Macaca fascicularis: one gene and its partner. The protein of the gene in region 1 binds, or shares a complex with, the protein of each later gene. Links are inferred from orthologs where the notes say so. Each region holds a gene or a part of one and is shown in the gene's direction. Other genes may lie near its edges.

Evidence for each region. The genes of interacting proteins can lie anywhere in the genome.
Region 2: the proteins of CNNM2 (region 1) and protein tyrosine phosphatase type IVA 1 are in contact, whole or in part, in a crystal structure (PDB 5MMZ), measured with the Mus musculus proteins. The link is inferred for Macaca fascicularis from reciprocal best matches to the Homo sapiens genes CNNM2 and PTP4A1. Residues at the interface, in NP_291047.2 of Mus musculus: Phe526, Asp528, Val551, Asn553, Glu556, Gly557, Asp558, Pro559, Phe560, Tyr561; in NP_035330.1 of Mus musculus: Asp72, Gly73, Ala74, Gly107, Leu108, Gly109, Arg110, Arg137, Arg138, Gly139, Ala140, Phe141, Asn142, Lys144, Gln145.

What each region holds. Positions count from the first base shown.
Region 1 is NC_088383.1:112,089,993-112,093,552, forward strand, and holds part of CNNM2 (metal transporter CNNM2), read left to right. Parts: intron 1-1,583; coding exon 1,584-1,721; intron 1,722-1,923; exon of another isoform or gene 1,924-1,988; intron 1,989-3,560.
Region 2 is NC_088385.1:29,336,128-29,340,406, reverse strand, and holds protein tyrosine phosphatase type IVA 1, read left to right. Parts: upstream 1-1,457; 5' UTR 1,458-2,142; coding exon 2,143-2,664; 3' UTR 2,665-3,981; downstream 3,982-4,279. Other genes in the region: inositol 1,4,5-trisphosphate-gated calcium channel ITPR2, read left to right, coding at 4,077-4,279. UniProt on the Homo sapiens protein: Protein tyrosine phosphatase which stimulates progression from G1 into S phase during mitosis. May play a role in the development and maintenance of differentiating epithelial tissues.

The sequences.
Region 1 (3,560 bases):
AGTGATCCACCTGCCTCGGCCTCCCATAAGTGCTGGGATTATAGGCGTGAGTCACCGTGCCTGGCCAATTTCAGGTATATTCTTGATCTGGATAGAGATTGGGAGTGACAGCTGTTGCCATTAGAATTATTTTAAATTCTGTATTGATTTCTGCTGTCTAGTTCTCAAAAGAATTGAGGCAGACGAAAAGTAGAAGTTGTGATCGCCTTCTCAGGAAAAGCCTAGTAATCAATCTGTTTTGCTCCATGCAAGAAACAATAATGCAGTGAGTCAGTTATTGGGAAGGAGCAAGCGATTGGGGTCTTGTCTTTAAGCTCTTTTTTTCTTGATCATTACTTTGTCCAGAAAAGTACTTAAAAGATGGTTTTGCAGGAGGTACCTTCTAGGTCAGGAGCTGGCAAACCACAGCCGATGAGTGCCTGTACTCTGCTTCTGTGTGACCTGCAAGCTAAGAATGTCTTTTCACATCTTAAAATTGTTGCAAAATGGCCAGCATGGTGGCTTATGTCTGTAATCCTAGCACTTTGGGAGGCTGAGGCAGGAGGATTGCTTGAGCCCAGGAGTTCAATACCAGCCTGGGCAACATAGTGAGACTCTGTCTCTACAGAAAATTTAAAAATTAGCTGGGCATGGTGGCAAACACCTGCAGTCCCAGCTACTTGGGAGGCAGAGGTGAGAGGATCACTTGAGCCTTGGAGTTGAGGCTGCTGTGAGCTGCGATTGTGCTGCTGCACTCCAGCCTGGGCAATAAAGCAAGAACCTATCTCAAGAAAAGAAAAAAGAAAAGAAAAAAAAAACAATTACTTTGTGACGTGCAAAAATTATATGCAATTCAAATTGCAGTGTTCATAAAGTTTGATTGGAAAACAGCCATGCTCCTACATCTTTCTAAACAGCAGTGTGGAGACTGTGTAGGCCCGCAGAGCCTAAAATATTGACTCCCTGGACCTTTTCAGAGGAAGTTCACGGACCACTGTCTGGATCCCATTCGCATCTGCTTGACCTTGAGGATCTCATGGTCTGGAGTAGCAGTGAAGCAAACAGATATTAAAACACTGCTCTGTGAAAGCATTCTTGTTTGTTTCTTAAGGGGGTTTCATTTGTGTGTTGTCTTTCAGCAGAGGTGAGGGGCCTCTTACAGGTAGGGACACTCCTCCCTTGTGTGTACACAGTGGTGGTCCTTTGCTGGAGTATGGTGACATTGAGCAGCAGTGGACTGTGCACTCCAGGCTGCACGCCCTGTTGCTATATGCTTCTGTGGGTCCTGTGAGAGGCTCTGTCAGCATTTGCCTGATGCTATGCTCACAAGGGCCCTCTGCAGACCTTCCTGAAGTACCTTCACTCATCAGGCTGCCTGTGGTCACTCACTGCGGACTGCATGGTGCCCAGGCTGCTGTGCTGAGTTGATGAGGATCTGGCCCTCTCTTCCTCCTTCCCTGTGGCATCTGTGCCTAGAGCGCCTGCATCTGGAAATACAGTCCAGCCCTTCCAATATATTTTGTCTTTTTCATTCAGAAAGAGCCCTGATCTCATGGGATGCATTTTCTTATTTTTTTTTTTTTCTCTTTTCATTCCTCCCTTAGCTGACAACAGAACAAAAAAGAAAGTAGCTCACCGGGAACGAAAGCAAGATTTTTCTGCCTTTAAGCAGACAGACAGCGAGATGAAGGTTAAAATATCACCACAGCTCCTCCTGGCCATGCACCGTTTCCTAGCAACAGGCAAGTGCAGCTTATCACAGTTTGAGATCTCTACCAACCCTGGAGTGTGTTTCTCACCCACCACTGACTGGGGTGGGCTGGGGGTGGACACTGGGAAATGGGGTGATAAGTAATGCCACTTTTGTGTTTTGTTTTTTGTTTTTTTGTTTTTTTGTTTTGTTTTGTTTTTTTCTTTTTAAATTCTCTCCTCTCCTATGTTCAGTGTCGGCATGAACCCTCTGAGACATTTACCAGGGGTGGACCAGTAACTTAAAATTGGTCTGAAAGGTAAGGATGAATGTTAGTGCCACACTGCATGTGAACAGTAGGCCAGGCCATCTCCTTCCAGCTAGGTCTGTGGGAGAGCCAGCTGGCGGAGCAGGCTGATGGTGCCAGCCTGGCACCAGCTTGTTTGATGGACAATTGAGTCCAGTCTCTCTTCAGCTTGTCCTGGAAGCACAGTTGGACATCAGTGGTAACACAGGGGCTATGATTTGCAAAGAAGAAAACTAGGTTTTCACAATTAAATCTTTATCTTTTATGGTTTTAATGAAATCAAATTCTAAGAACTTTGATATGGATTTCTTGATGGCCTCCTCAGATCAGATTAACTCGAGTCCATTTCAGGAGGCAAGTGTTCATGTTGTTTAAACCACCAACCCAGCCGGCACTGACTGCTCCAGAGAGGTCAACGTTGAATGAACTTAAGATACTGACCAACCCTTCTCCCATCCCCAGATGCTCTCCAGGGTTGAGCTCTGGTGGCCAGGGGAAGTGTGAGAAAGTCTAAAGCATCCATTGGCTTTAGAAGACATCAGTGTCCCTGATAGGCAGCCAGTGCCTTTCATCTGCATGCAGTAGACTTAAACCATGTTTAAAAGAAGGCTAGCCGTAACCACCTGACGGAATGCTGTGTAACTCTTTAAGGTCGCGTTCTCAGAAGCCTGGAAATGCTCAATATAATATTTATCACATTAGAAAATATTCATAACTTAATACAAAGTGGGGAGAAACAATCTAAAACTATGTGTACTTTAAGATTAGAGTTGTGTTTTTGTGTGTACACACATGGATACATGAGCACACGTGCCTAGGCATGGCACTGGAAAGAAATTCTCACTCAATTGCTCAGAATGGTAATCTGAGTGGTTGGCTTATAGATAATTTTTACTTTCTTCTTTTTCTGTATTTTCTAAAATTCCTATAATGACTGTCTTATTACAAAAAAGTCAAGTTAATACAGAACTTACAGCTTTCATAAATACATAATTAGAAAATAACAGACAATGTCTTTCACTTATTACTCTTTTTCTAGTTTTGATAATACTGTTCCTCATCATTTAAGAATCACAAATTAAAACTAAACATCTAGGCAGGGCATGGTGGCTCATTGCCTGTAATCTCAGCTCTTGGGGAGGCCAAGGCAAGCTGATTGCTTGAGACAGTCTGGCCAACATGATGAAACCCTATCTCTACTAAAAATACAAAAATCAGCCAGGCATGGTGGTGGGCGCCTGTAATCCCATTTACACAGGAGGCTGAGGCAGAAGAATCACTTGAACCCGGGAGGTGGCGGTTGCAGTGAGCCGAGATCGCACCACTGCACTCCAGCCTGGGTGACAGATTGAGACTCCTTCTCAAAAAAAAAAAAAAAAAAAACACTAAAACTAAATCTCCTACTCTGCTTCTGAGATATCATAGAGTCCAGTTGTAGGATAGCACCCTTCAGTCAGTAATTTTTGTTTTTGTATTTAAAATAAAATTGCTATCTTCGTAAATACTTTTGAACGTTACTTTTTTTTTTTAATTAGCATGTTGATGTGTGCACATGCCCTGCTCTTATTTCCAGTCTCAACCCTC
Region 2 (4,279 bases), on another chromosome or scaffold:
GTAGAAAGGTTTGAAGAGAATCAAACTAAGTAATACAAACTACCCAACAGTGATTTTTTTTTTTTTTACAACATGTGGAAACTTATTATTTAGAGTAAGTTGTAACTTTCAGCAAATGAATAGATGAAGGCACTTCATCTATTGCCTTCAAGTATGATGCATTGGAGAAGTAGCAGCTTAAAGAGCCCGTTGATTAAATCACTACTCTGTGACCAAATGGTTCTCTAGTGGCCCATATGGACTAAGGGAGCTTCCACCTATGGCTACCAAATAGTTACATGGTAGATTTTTATTGGTTTCTGGGCATTTTCATTAGTATATACCTTAAATTTGGGAATGGAGGAAATTTCCATAATGCTTCAAGGAGTCCCTCCTGCCACTTAGAAATCTTAAAATTAATTTAGCTTAAAGCCTTGAATTTTTAAATGTAAATTATTGTTATTAAACATTTTAAGGAACATTTTAAGCTTGTAAAATGCACCTTTTTCTTCTCTGAAATTACCTTCACATTAGCTCTTCATTGTCTGGAAATGTGAGAACTAAATGGATTTTGTGTTATGATCAGCAAGGAAAGAATTAGAATGGGGAAGCAGCAAACAGTGAAACCATCCCTATGACACTGTTGGGTGAAGTGTTTCTGTGCACAAAGAAGTATTTGTAATATTATATTATGTTAATATGTAATACATATTTTTGATAAATATACATTCTCTTTCAACAAAACTTTCAAAGTAAGCCAACTGGCTTATAGATTTAAATATGTTGTCACTTTAAATATAATACATAGAGAAAAAATTGTATATCCTTAGTTACCTACCAACATGTCTCACACTGGGGTTAGAAAATTGGTACTGATAATAGACAATAAGATAGTATGGAGTTTGAGCAATAAAACTGCCATCTGATGGAATTTTCTACTAAAATTATATAAACAAAATATGAAGGAAAATTTATGTCCTAAAAGCCCCTACCTATTCATATCTTTGTTTCTCTTGGTTTTTTGGTCTTAGTTTTCTACTTATTTCTCTTGTCTCTGCTTTTACCTTCATTCTCTACTGATGCCTTCTTATGACACATGGAATTTTTTAGACTTTTGTAGAGCTGTAATTAGCTCGATGTACTTGCTTATGCAGTCACTATTACAATGGATGAGGATATTTTACTCTGCTTTAGTAAAATTATGAGATTTCTTGTGCTTTGGCCATAGTCTCCTGGCCAAAAAAAGGTAGAGGAAAATAACTATTTTTTTACAGGTTTAATTTGAGTGTGATGAACAATTTACTATCATCCATATTGTTTCATTCTTGCCCCATCTGCTGCTTCCATATCACCCCAACTGATTTTGATAGCATTCATAGCTGGTTCCTTGGCATGGGACCATAATCTTTTCACCACCCTCCCCCAGCTTAGCTCTGCTTGTGCCATATTATATATGTTTTTACAAAGAGATACATGTGGCCTCGGCGCGTGTATTGGCTCCTTCGGCTGCGGGCCGGCTCGGCTACGCGCTCTGCTCCGAGCCGCTCACTGCATGGTAGAGTCTGGTGCCCCCGCCGCCGCCTGCATCGCCGCCACCGCCGCTCCGCCACGACCACCGCCGCCTCCTGCCCTGCAGCCGCCACCACCGCCTGTGTCGCCGCCGCCTCGGGACCGGCTGTATGATTAGGCCACAATCTTCAATGAGTAAACATATTCCTCAATTCTGTGGTGGTCTTGGTCACACATTTATGGAGTTTCTGAAGGGCAGTGGAGATTACTGCCAGGCACAGCACGACCTCTATGCAGACAAGTGAACTGTAGAAACTGATTACTACTCCACCAAGAAGCCCCCATAAGAGTGGTTATCCTGGACACAGAAGTGTTGAATTGAAATCCACAGAGCATTTTACAAGAGTTCTGACCTGGATGGGGTAAACCTCAGTGCGCTTCTTTTCTGTTGGCCTCAGTATTACTGGATTGAAGAATTGCTGCTGCTTGTTAGGAGGTTCATTTCATTTATCATTACTTACAACTTCATACTCAAGCACTGAGAATTTCAAGTGGAGTATATTGAAGTAGACTTCAGTTTCTTTGCATCATTTCTGTATTCAATTTTTTTAAATTATTTCATAACCCTATTGAGTGTTTTTTAACTAAATTAACATGGCTCGAATGAACCGCCCAGCTCCTGTGGAAGTCACATACAAGAACATGAGATTTCTTATTACACACAATCCAACCAATGCGACCTTAAACAAATTTATAGAGGAACTTAAGAAGTATGGAGTTACCACAATAGTAAGAGTGTGTGAAGCAACTTACGACACTACTCTTGTGGAGAAAGAAGGTATCCATGTTCTTGATTGGCCTTTTGATGATGGCGCACCACCATCCAACCAGATTGTCGATGACTGGTTAAGTCTTGTAAAAATTAAGTTTCGTGAAGAACCTGGTTGTTGTATTGCTGTTCATTGCGTTGCAGGCCTTGGGAGAGCTCCAGTACTTGTTGCCCTAGCATTAATTGAAGGTGGAATGAAATACGAAGATGCAGTACAATTCATAAGACAAAAGCGGCGTGGAGCTTTTAACAGCAAGCAACTTTTGTATTTGGAGAAGTATCGTCCTAAAATGCGGCTGCGTTTCAAAGATTCCAACGGTCATAGAAACAACTGTTGCATTCAATAAAATTGGGGTGCCTAATGCTATTGGAAGTGGAACTTGAGATAGGGTCTAATTTGTTATACATATTAGCCAACATGTTGGCTTAGTAAGTCTAATGAAGCTTCCATAGGAGTATTGAAAGGCAGTTTTACCAGGCCACAAGCTAGACAGATTTGGCAACCTCTGTATTTGGGTTACAGTCAACCTATTTGGATACTTGGCAAAAGATTCTTGCTGTCAGCGTATAAAATGTGCTTGTCATTTGTATCAATTGACCTTTCCCAAAATCATGGAGTATTGAGTTATGACTTGTTTAAATCTATTCCCATGCCAGAATCTTATCAATACATAAGAAATTTAGGAAGATTAGGTGCCAAAATACCCAGCACAATACTTGTATATTTTTAGTACCATACAGAACTAAAATCCCAGGAACTATGAACACTCTAGACCTTATGTGGTTTATTCCTTCACTCATTTCAAACATTGAAAGTAGGGCCTACATGGTTATTTGCCTGCTCACTTTATGTTTACATCTCCCACATTCATACCGGTATACATCAGGTTTGCTTAACCATTGATTTTTTTTTTTTTTTTTTACCAAGTCTTACAGTGATCATTTAATATGTTTCTATAAATCTCACTTTGTGCTGTTATTAAAAAAACCTCCATTTTGAAAATCTACATTGTACAGAAGCACATGTCTTTAATGTCTTCAGACAAAAAAGCCTTACATTAATTTAATGTTTGCACTCTGAGGTGCAACTTAACAGGGAGGGCCTGAGAAAAGAATGGGAGGGGGCTATTAATTATTTTTAGCAAAATGTTGCCTTTGTCTTGTGCAGAACATGTAGAACATGCTCTTTAATTTAGTAAAATATTTTTTTAAAAGGTAGAGATGCTTTGTTATTGTAATCATAAACTTCCTGAAATTCTTGTAATTTTTTTTCCATACTTATCAGAAGCATGTTTACCAACTTATTTTTGTTTGAAAGTGTGATTTTTTTTTCCCTTCCCAACCTCTCTTGCAAAAAAAGAAATGGGTTTCTGCTAATGAATTGAGCAGACATCTAATATTTTATATGCCTTTTGAGCTGTGTAACTTAATATTTGGATACTTGATAATTTGTTTTATTATGTAATTGATAAAATGGTGATGTGTATTAATGTTAGTTCAACCATATATTTATACTGTCTGGGGATGTGTGGTTATAGTTCTGTGGGAGAAATAATTTTGTCAGTGTTCACCAGCTTGTAAAAACTTAGTGCGAGAGCTGAAACATCTAAATAAATAATGACATGCATTTATCATCAAAAAAAAAAAAACAAAAAAAAAACAAAGAGATACATGTGTTTCCAGATATATCAAGCCTTTGGAATTAACTGCAAGGATAAATGTTTGGACGGCTCTGTAGACTCTCTTATTATCTTTTCAGTTGATAAATGGGGGTGAAGACGTGCTGATATTTTACAATGATAGAGCGTCATTTCCCATCCTTCTCCATATGATGTGTTCAGAGAGAGACCGAGGGGATGAGAGTGGCCCCTTAGCCTACCACATCACCCTGGTGGAGCTGCTGGCAGCATGCACAGAGGGGAAAAATGTCTACACTGAAATCAAGTGTAATTCCCTTCTCCC